Linked DNA regions of Macaca fascicularis. The protein of the gene in region 2 interacts with the protein of the main gene of each other region in a pairwise test. Links are inferred from orthologs where the notes say so. Each region holds a gene or a part of one and is shown on either strand. Other genes may lie near its edges.

Evidence for each region.
Region 1: the proteins of EGFR (region 2) and MAP3K12 interact in binary tests that used the Homo sapiens proteins (3 or more experiments, as listed by UniProt). The link is inferred for Macaca fascicularis from reciprocal best matches to the Homo sapiens genes EGFR and MAP3K12.

The regions. Positions count from the first base shown.
Region 1 is NC_088385.1:60,308,233-60,312,546, forward strand, and holds the start of MAP3K12 (mitogen-activated protein kinase kinase kinase 12), read right to left. Parts: upstream 2,804-4,314; 5' UTR 2,772-2,803; intron 1-2,771.
Region 2 is NC_088377.1:75,386,181-75,390,286, forward strand, and holds the start of EGFR (epidermal growth factor receptor), read right to left. Parts: upstream 2,831-4,106; 5' UTR 2,570-2,830; coding exon 2,482-2,569; intron 2,255-2,481; exon of another isoform or gene 1,646-2,254; intron 1-1,645. UniProt on the Homo sapiens protein: Receptor tyrosine kinase binding ligands of the EGF family and activating several signaling cascades to convert extracellular cues into appropriate cellular responses.

The sequences.
Region 1 (4,314 bases), on a different chromosome or scaffold from region 2:
CTTCCTGAGGTCTTGTCTCTGCTCCTGGCCAGTTGGGTGACCTGGCTTGAGACTTCTCAACAAACCTCAGTTTCTTCATTGCTAAATGGGGACAGTGGTACCTATGTCCCACAGTGGCAGTGCAGTACATAATGTGGTGGGTAAGAACACAGGTTCTAGGTCACACAGACCTGGGTTCAAATCCTACCTCTTGCCACATACTAACTTTTTTACTTTCAACAAATTACTTAAGTTTCAGTTTTCTCCTCCATCAGAGATGATGATAACACTATCTCACTTGGTCTTGTTAAGGGCATGATTAAGACAATCAAAATAAAGTTCTTCGCCCAGGACCTGGCACACAAGAAGCTCTCTCTAAGCATTAGCCATATGGAAAGTGCCTAACACACAGTTGTAAGTTTTTTATGAATGTGAGTCCCTTCCCTTCTTTCCCTTGTTCTTTCTCAAAGCAAGTACCAGTAGGGAGGGTATAGGTGGAAAGGGAGGTGGAGAAACAAGAGGGAAAAAAGACCAAAGAATGAAGAAACCAAAGGACAAGGGCTCTATCCTGAATGATCTTTAGCCTCCTCTGGAATCTGGTCACTGTCGCAGTCTCCTCACCTTCCCCACACACACATATGACCCCAGTGCTTCTGGGAGCCAATGAACCGGACAGACTAGTCTCTGTGGCCAGGCCCTCATGAAGCCCCTATGTCCCCTGCTGGCATCATCTCAACAGTATCCTCCTCCTTCCCAGCATCACCTCAGTCAACAGTGTGAGTGAGTGGATGAGTGGCGGGCATGAGGGGCAGACATTTCCACCTCACTGGAAGAAGCATGGCAGCTGGGGGTCCCAGGGCTTGACTGGTATAGGGCTGAGGACCTGAATGTAGGGGTGATCTCCAGTCCACCCTAGCAAGGACTTCTTACGGGGCTGATTCTCTCATTCCTTCTTTCTCTCCAGATCCAGGCAGGGGAGAGGGAGGACTGTGGATTACAACAGTCTGGGCCGTGAGTGGCAGAACCAAGGGTCCTCTTCCTAGAAAAGCCTGATCCTACCATATTGTCACCACCAGGGGAAGAGCAATTGGTTTTTTTTTTTTTTTGAGACGGAGTCTCGCTCTGTCACCCAGGCTGGAGTGCAGTGGCCGGATCTCAGCTCACTGCAAGCTCCGCCTCCCGGGTTCATGCCATTCTCCTGCCTCAGCCTCCCGAGTAGCTGGGACTACAGGCGCCTGCCACCTCGCCCGGCTAAGTTTTTGTATTTTTAGTAGAGACGGGGTTTCACTGTGTTAGCCAGGATGGTCTCGATCTCCTGACCTTGTGATCCGCCCGTCTCAGCCTCCCAAAGTGCTGGGATTACAGGCTTGAGCCACCGCGCCCGGCGCAATTGGTTTTTAGAAGGGTTCTGCCCTCTTCAGCTATAAGAAAGCCTAGGAAATCCTGAGCCACATCTAACTTCTTGCCTCCTCTGTCTGTAACTGGGATGGGTATTTAGCTGGTGGTCTACATGTTGAGAGCTGGGGTTTTCCCAACATTACCCCAGTTGACAATGGGAGTGAGTGGATGAATGGTATGCTTGAGGGGACACACATGTTTTTTTCACCCGTGTGAGATAGGAGGGAGTGGGGCCCTAAAGCTCAGAGAAACTTCAGTGTCTGGACAGGAAGGCTCAGGGGGCACTTGAGTCCTTTCCTTCCTAAATCCTTTCTGTTAGCCTTGGCTTGGTATGACCCTCTGGCTGAAACTCAGAGCTCCTAGAGCGATGGAGTCCACCTTGAGAACTGCAAGGGAAATGTGTTTAGAGGGATGCACTGACTGTGGCTTGAGACGACTCTGGGTGGGGTAAGGAGACCTCATGTGCACTCCCTCCTGATTGGAGGCCACTCACCTATGCTCCTCTGAAAAAGGCAGCAGATGAGCATCTACAAGGTAGGACTCCTCCCTTAATTCTAAGGGACACCTCACTGTTTCCTCCCACTGTCTATAGAGCCTTGACTCTTCCCTCCTCTCAGTCAAGGCCTTGGTTACCAGCAAGTCTCAACTCTTGCTTATTTTTAAGCCAATGAGTTTGAGGAGTGTTTGTGGGAAAGGGAGGAGGTTTTTGGAGGGTTTGACTGGGGGAGACGGGTTAGGGGAGCCAGAGGAGATGGAGAGAAAGAGGAGGGAGAAACCCACACGTGAATGGGGGAGGGGAGGATGCAACAGCTGGATGGAGGTGAATGCCACAGCTGGAGGGGATTAGGAGGATCACAGCTGGAAGGGGAGGGGACCAACGCCTGGGCATCTAGGAACAGGTGCTCTCTGACTAATCTTCAGGTCCAGCCTGCTAAGTGTGTGTGTGTGTGTGTGTGTCTGTGTGTGTGTGGAGGGAGATGTGGGTACATCAGTCCTTGCCCTTCCTTTCCTTCCCTGGAGGGGGCCAAAACTCTCCCTCCTCCTTCCCTCTCTCCCTTCCTGAGGATGAGTGGGAGGAGATGTTCTCTTGCCCTCTGTCCTTTAAGTCTGTCCCCCAATCACCCTCCACCCCACCCCAATACGGTCCTTTCCAGCTCTGGAGGCCCTTCGTCTCCAAGCTGGGCCGCGGCATCTCTCCGCTCCATTCCCTTCCTTCCCAGCCCCACACGCGTCGGGTCCAGGTCCCCAGTTCCTCCATCCCCACAGCTTCAGCATCCCCACACCACCACCCGCACCAGGCCACATCTGCATCCCGACCCTCCCTCCACGCCCGGATCCCAGGACCCGGACCCATCCCTGCCCCCCACCCCCCCACAACTCGGCCAGGCTCTCACCTCGGGGGCTCCGCGGCCGCAGCACAAAAGGCGGCGCTGCTGCAGCTCCGCTCCGGATGCTGCTCCCGCCTCCTCCTCCTTCTCCTCCTCCTTCCCTCCTCCCCCCGCTGCCCTCCACCGGACCCGGGGCGCTGTCACAGGCGATGCTCGTGCGGTGTCCGGATGCACGGGTGTCAGCTTCAGCTTGCTGCCCCCACCCCCCGACCCCTAGCCCCGTCCCTGCTCGGCTTGAACTCCCGCTCCTTCCAGGGCCCCCGCCCCTGGCCCCCCGGGACGGACACGCCCTGAGCGGGGGATGCTGCGATGGAGCCGCCGGCCTCTTAAAGGAGCCCGCTGCTGCCATCCGGCGCGCTCCACTCTCGTCCCTGGCCCGCCTGGGCCCCGCGCTTCCCTGCTGGCGGTGTCCTATGGAGGTCCCACCTCAGGCCTTAGGCTGATTCCACAGGAACCCCCTATGACTCGTCTTATAGACTCCTTTCTACATCGGAGAGAGCAGCCCCTCAGTTGGGATCCCTAGCGCTCTGGCATTGCTCCCCCTATCATACTGATCTTGCCAGCTCTCCTTCCCTTGATTGTCACCGCTCACTCTAATTTCACCCACTTGGAATTCACTCGACTCTAGGCCCCATCCTCCTCCAGTGTTCCTGGATGACCCCTCATTATCATTTAAAGATTCCTCTGGACCTCCAGCCCCGCCTCAGAGTAAGACATCTCTTTCTTGACCCCTTCTCAGAACACTCATTAGAACCTTTATTTATTTATTTATTTTTTAAAAATGTGATATCTCCCTTTCTCCAAGGTCACAAGATTTCCCTTAGCCCAGTGGTTGTGCGACTTTGGGGGAGGAGGCAATGGGGCTCTAGGACTAAAAAATTTGCGTCTGCTCAACACCCAGATCAGTTGATTAGTCTTAGGCGGCCAAAATTCACTCTTGCTTTCTTCAGCTGAGAGACCCAAGACTCATGGCAGAGGGAACGAGACCACCAGGTGCCTAGTCCTTCTAATCCTGTCGCCCCACACCACAGCCTGATTATCAGGCCCCAGAGATTTCCTTGCCAGTTAGAGAGGTTCACTAGAGCCGTTCTAAAAAGGTTTTACAAAAGAAGCAAAACCTGAAGGAGGTGAAGGACAACCTAGGAAGAGGAAGCAAGTTCTGTGTCACGGAGGCCCAAGGGCCAGGGGCTTAGGCTGTGGGTTGAGGGGACTGTCTGAGACTGACTTGGATCTGCACCAGCTCCAGAGCCCTGCGTAGACAGACATCGGTCCCCTCCGGCGTCTAGGTAAAGCCCACCCTCTCAGACCTCAAAGAGCCCGGATCCGACAGCAACCTCTCCGGACCAATCACAACCTTCCTTCACCAAGGAGGCGGGGTCAGGGGGCTGATTTTTCCTTGTCCCCGCCCCTTTGGTCGAAGTAACCAATTCCAATGTGCCTAGAGGAAGTAAACGCAATGGGAGTAACCAATGACAACATGAAGCTTCTCGTGCGTGCTTGACCCTGCCCCTCCAGCTGCGGCAAAGATGGCGCGCGGGCTCCTGGGTTC
Region 2 (4,106 bases):
CCTACCAGCGGTGGGAAAGTCACTTTAGTTCTTTGTACCTCAGTTTCCCCCATAGGAGGAGAGTGTACACCTCTTATGCTTAATGTGGGGATTAGGACGCATGAAACGGTGTCTGGCAGTCATTACGTCTAAGAGCAGCAAGTCCAGAAGTTAGCATGTCCCAGAACCAAACAAAACCCTTACTAAACGAAGTGCATCTTGAATAAAATCGACTGAATTTGATAGACACAGGTCTCAAACAAATTTCTGTTAAAAGAGCTCATCTCCTACTTTAATAATTTGCCCCTGAAAATTCAGTCTTTTATGTTACTGTAACAGAATAGCGCCTGTTCACCTACTCTCTCTGTCTTCAGGAGTTTCTGTTTTGAGTGAATACAGGATAAACAGGCAAATTAAGTGGTATTTATATTTTTCTCAGGAACAAATCTCCAATCACTAACAGTGGTGTTCAAGCAAGTAACATCAAAGAATGAGAACCCCACTGGAGGGAGAAAAGTGATGCTTTGGAGGTGCTCTGAGGGTTTAATTTAAAATAAAGAGAAGAGTCTCTTCAGCAGAGACAGGGCTGACACCTGACTAACAGGACCCACAGTCAGCCCCCAAGCAGGCAGGAGGGGCCCTGCAAGCTCAGCAGAGAAGAAACCTTTCCACCAGTTCCTTCAATGAAAAGAGGAATCTTTTATTATTGGAACCACACCCCACCTTTTCCCTCTTTCCTATATTTGGCAACATTGTTAAAATTCCAGATGTCCTCAAAGAGCTCTTTGCATTGGCAAGTAATCTCTCCGGAGACTTTAACAATCCTTCTTCCGTCCGGTGATCCCCAAACCTGGCTCCCCAACAGATCACATGAAAAGCATTAAAAAAAAAATCCCATGTCCAGGTCTTGCCCCATGCCAATTAAATCAGAATGTCTGGGGGCGGGATTCAGACACTGGTTTTTGTTTTGATTTTTTTTTTTAAATCCCAGGTAATTCTAACGTGCAGCAAGGTCTGGGAACCACTGTTCTATGTCTTGCCCCTCCCCCAACGACCGCGCTGGGCACCAAACCCCAACTCCCCATGCCAGTGACATCAACAGCAAGTACGGGCCTGGCTCTTGGAACCCGCGCAGCTCAAGGTTGGAATTGTGCAATTAAACCTTCCGAGGCATGTTTCCCGTGTCAAGTGGGTTTATGGTCAGTAGTCACGAAGCCAGACTCGCTCATGTTCTGTCTGGACACTTGGCACACTTGAACCAGGGACATCAATCCGGTGTGTGTGTGTGTGTGTGTGTGTGTGTGTAAGACAGGTTTAATATTTTGGTTGGCTCAATGTCAAATTCTTCAGACAGCAAAAAGAAACATCCAAGAAAGAAACTCTCCGGGTTTTGAGGAGAAAAGTTTGCTGTGAGCCCCATTTTGAAACACTGTGGTGCTGGCCAGGATGAGCTCTGCTTCCTGGGCTTCCGCACTAGAGGCCGCGATCCCCCCAGCAGTGGCCGGACAGCCGCGTCCCCCTCCACCGCGAAGCCCAGGCGCGACCGAAGGGCTGCAGGTGGGGCAGACCCGGACGTCCCCGCGAGGCGGCCACCGAACGAGAGCCCGGGCCTTTCTGCGCGGGCGCCCGGGAGGGAGCTCGGGTCCCCAGGAGGTGGGGGGCATACCTGGACCGGCAAGACGAGGGCGCGCCGAGTGAGGCGAGCGGCCGGGGTCTGCGCCCAAGGGGCGGGTCGGACCCCACCTGCCTTTTGCCAACGAGGAAGCTCACCGCCGCCAGCACCACCCCTTCCCAGGCGCCGCAGGTGGTGGCGGACTTCTCCCAGCTCCCAGGTTGAGGCTGCGACTCCACACCTGGGAACCAGGATCGCGGGGACCTGGAGAGGGGCCGGGGTCAGGCTGGCCGGCGCCGGCTTCAGTTTGAGACCTGCGCGGAGCGCGGAGGCAGGGAGGTTCGCTCAGGAAGCCGCCTGTCCCGCGGGGTCCGAAGGGAGGCTTTATTTTCGGGGTCCTTCCTCAGCTTCCCTAAACAGCGCAGCCTCGGCGGGTGGGCAGCGCCAGTCCCTCGGGTGCGCGCCGCGACCCCGCCGCGCCCTGGGAAGACAGCGCGGGGCGCACGTGCGGGACCCCGGCCCCAGGCACCCACCCGCACGGGGCTTTCGCCCACTGACGCCGATTCCGCGCAGCGGGGCGGGGAAAGTGAGGGTGGAAAGTTGGGAGCGGTTCGGGGCGCCGGAGGTCCAGGCGGCCGTTTCCCCGCCGGCCCGCAGCCCAGTGCCCCACGCGTCTCCTCCCCCGCCCGCCCCAGACTCTCCTGGCCCAAGAACGAAACGTCCCGTTCCTCCCGCGGTCCCGGCCGGCGGCGCAGCTGATCTCAAGGAAACAGGAAAGGACGGGCGGGGGCGCGGGCGCCGAGCCGGTGCGCCGGTGCGCGGCTGGGCTGGCTGCGGGGTCCGGGGCGCGATCCGGGGGCAGCGCGGGAGCCGGCGAGACACGCCCTTACCTTTCTTTTCCTCCAGAGCCCGACTCGCGGGGCAGAGCGCAGCCAGCAGCGCCAGGAGCGCGGCCCCGGCCGTCCCGGAGGGTCGCATAGCTGCTTCCCGAAGAGCAAGCTCCGGCTCTCCGGATCAATAGTGGACGGAGTCAGGCGGCCGTGCGCGGTGGTTGTGGCGTTAGCGGCGAGGCGGGGACTCGGGCGGACGCCGACGAGGTGGCCTGTCGTCCAGTCTGGGCGGCGGCGGCCGCCGGGGCTAGCTCGGGACTCCGGCCGCTTTGGCCGCGGCGGGCGCGCACACCGTGCCGGGGGCGGAGGCTGCTGCGGCCGCGCTGCGCCGGGGGCTGCCCGGACGTCTAGCTCGCGCGGGCCGGGGCGCGGGGAGGCAGGGCGGGAGGAGGAGGGACCAGGCGGCGGAGGAGGGATCGGGAGGAGCAGAGGAGGAGGAGAATGAGAGGAGGAGGGAGGAGAACCAGCCGCGGGGACCCAAGGCCAGCGGCCGCCGGAGGCGGTGGACAGCGGTGACCCCCGCGGGACCTGGTCTCCCGCGGGAAGGGGGTGGCGCGCGGGAGGGGAGCGGGTGCCCTGAGGAGTTAATTTCCGTGAGGGGCGTTCCCAGCACTGCCCCTCTGGACTGGGTCCCCGCAGACTTGCAGGCCCAGCCTATGTCGAGGTCGAGCCAAATCTGTGCCAGGGTCCCCTTCCCCCTTTCCCTTCTTTTGTTTTACAGAACAAACTTCTACCAGCTTTAGACAGACTGGCCGAGCCCTAGAGCCAGCGTCGAATAATGGCACCGACGGGGAAACTGCTCCTTTATTCTGGTCCTCACCTCCCCTGCAGCACCCAGGGACCCTCGCGGGGATCAGAGGCTGGCCTGGCAGCTGAGGAGGTCGCTGTGCCCGCGCTGCAGGGGTGCCAGGCGTCCGAGGTGGTGCTCTAAAGTCCGAGGGTCCTTCAGATCCCGTGAAGCACCCTAGAAATCGTCTGAAATGAGGGCACCCAACTTTGGGCGCAGAGACAGGCCTCCTCAATGTTTACTGCAACCGGCCGTGGGTACTTTGAAGCCAATGTGTGAAGCACGTTACTTCGCAAAAGTGAGGCTCTTGGAATAAAGGCTTGACACAAACAGCTGTGGAGATGCTTTTAGAGAGGCTAAGTGTCCCACTGCACCGGTAGCTCCCGCAGGAGAAATGCCAGGGAAGTTCGCGAAAGTTTGGCCGAAAGAAACTGAGCTGCTTTAGGCTGCAGGAACTTGAGCTACATTCCTTTGGCAAGTCCACCCCATCCCCACTGTTGCTTCTCCTGCAGTAAGAATGTCCTCTAGGTCCATGTTACAGTCAGACCCCTCCTCTCTTCACGAGATTCACTAGGACCTTCAGGCCTGGTTCAACAACCCTGATCTCCCGGCTCTGTCAAAAATCATAATCCTGAAGTAAGTAGAGCTACAGATCTGCCCTTTGCTGTCTCTGAAGGGGAGCAACCTTGCATCTTTCCTCCGCATCCAGCGAAGTGTTTGTGCCTGGGTTTCACACCCTGCAGCCTGAACGGTGGGTTTTTCACCAGGGCAAGCGCAGACAGACACAAGGCTCCTCACCACCCGTACAACCTGGAACTTCCCTGTGAATTAGAAGAAG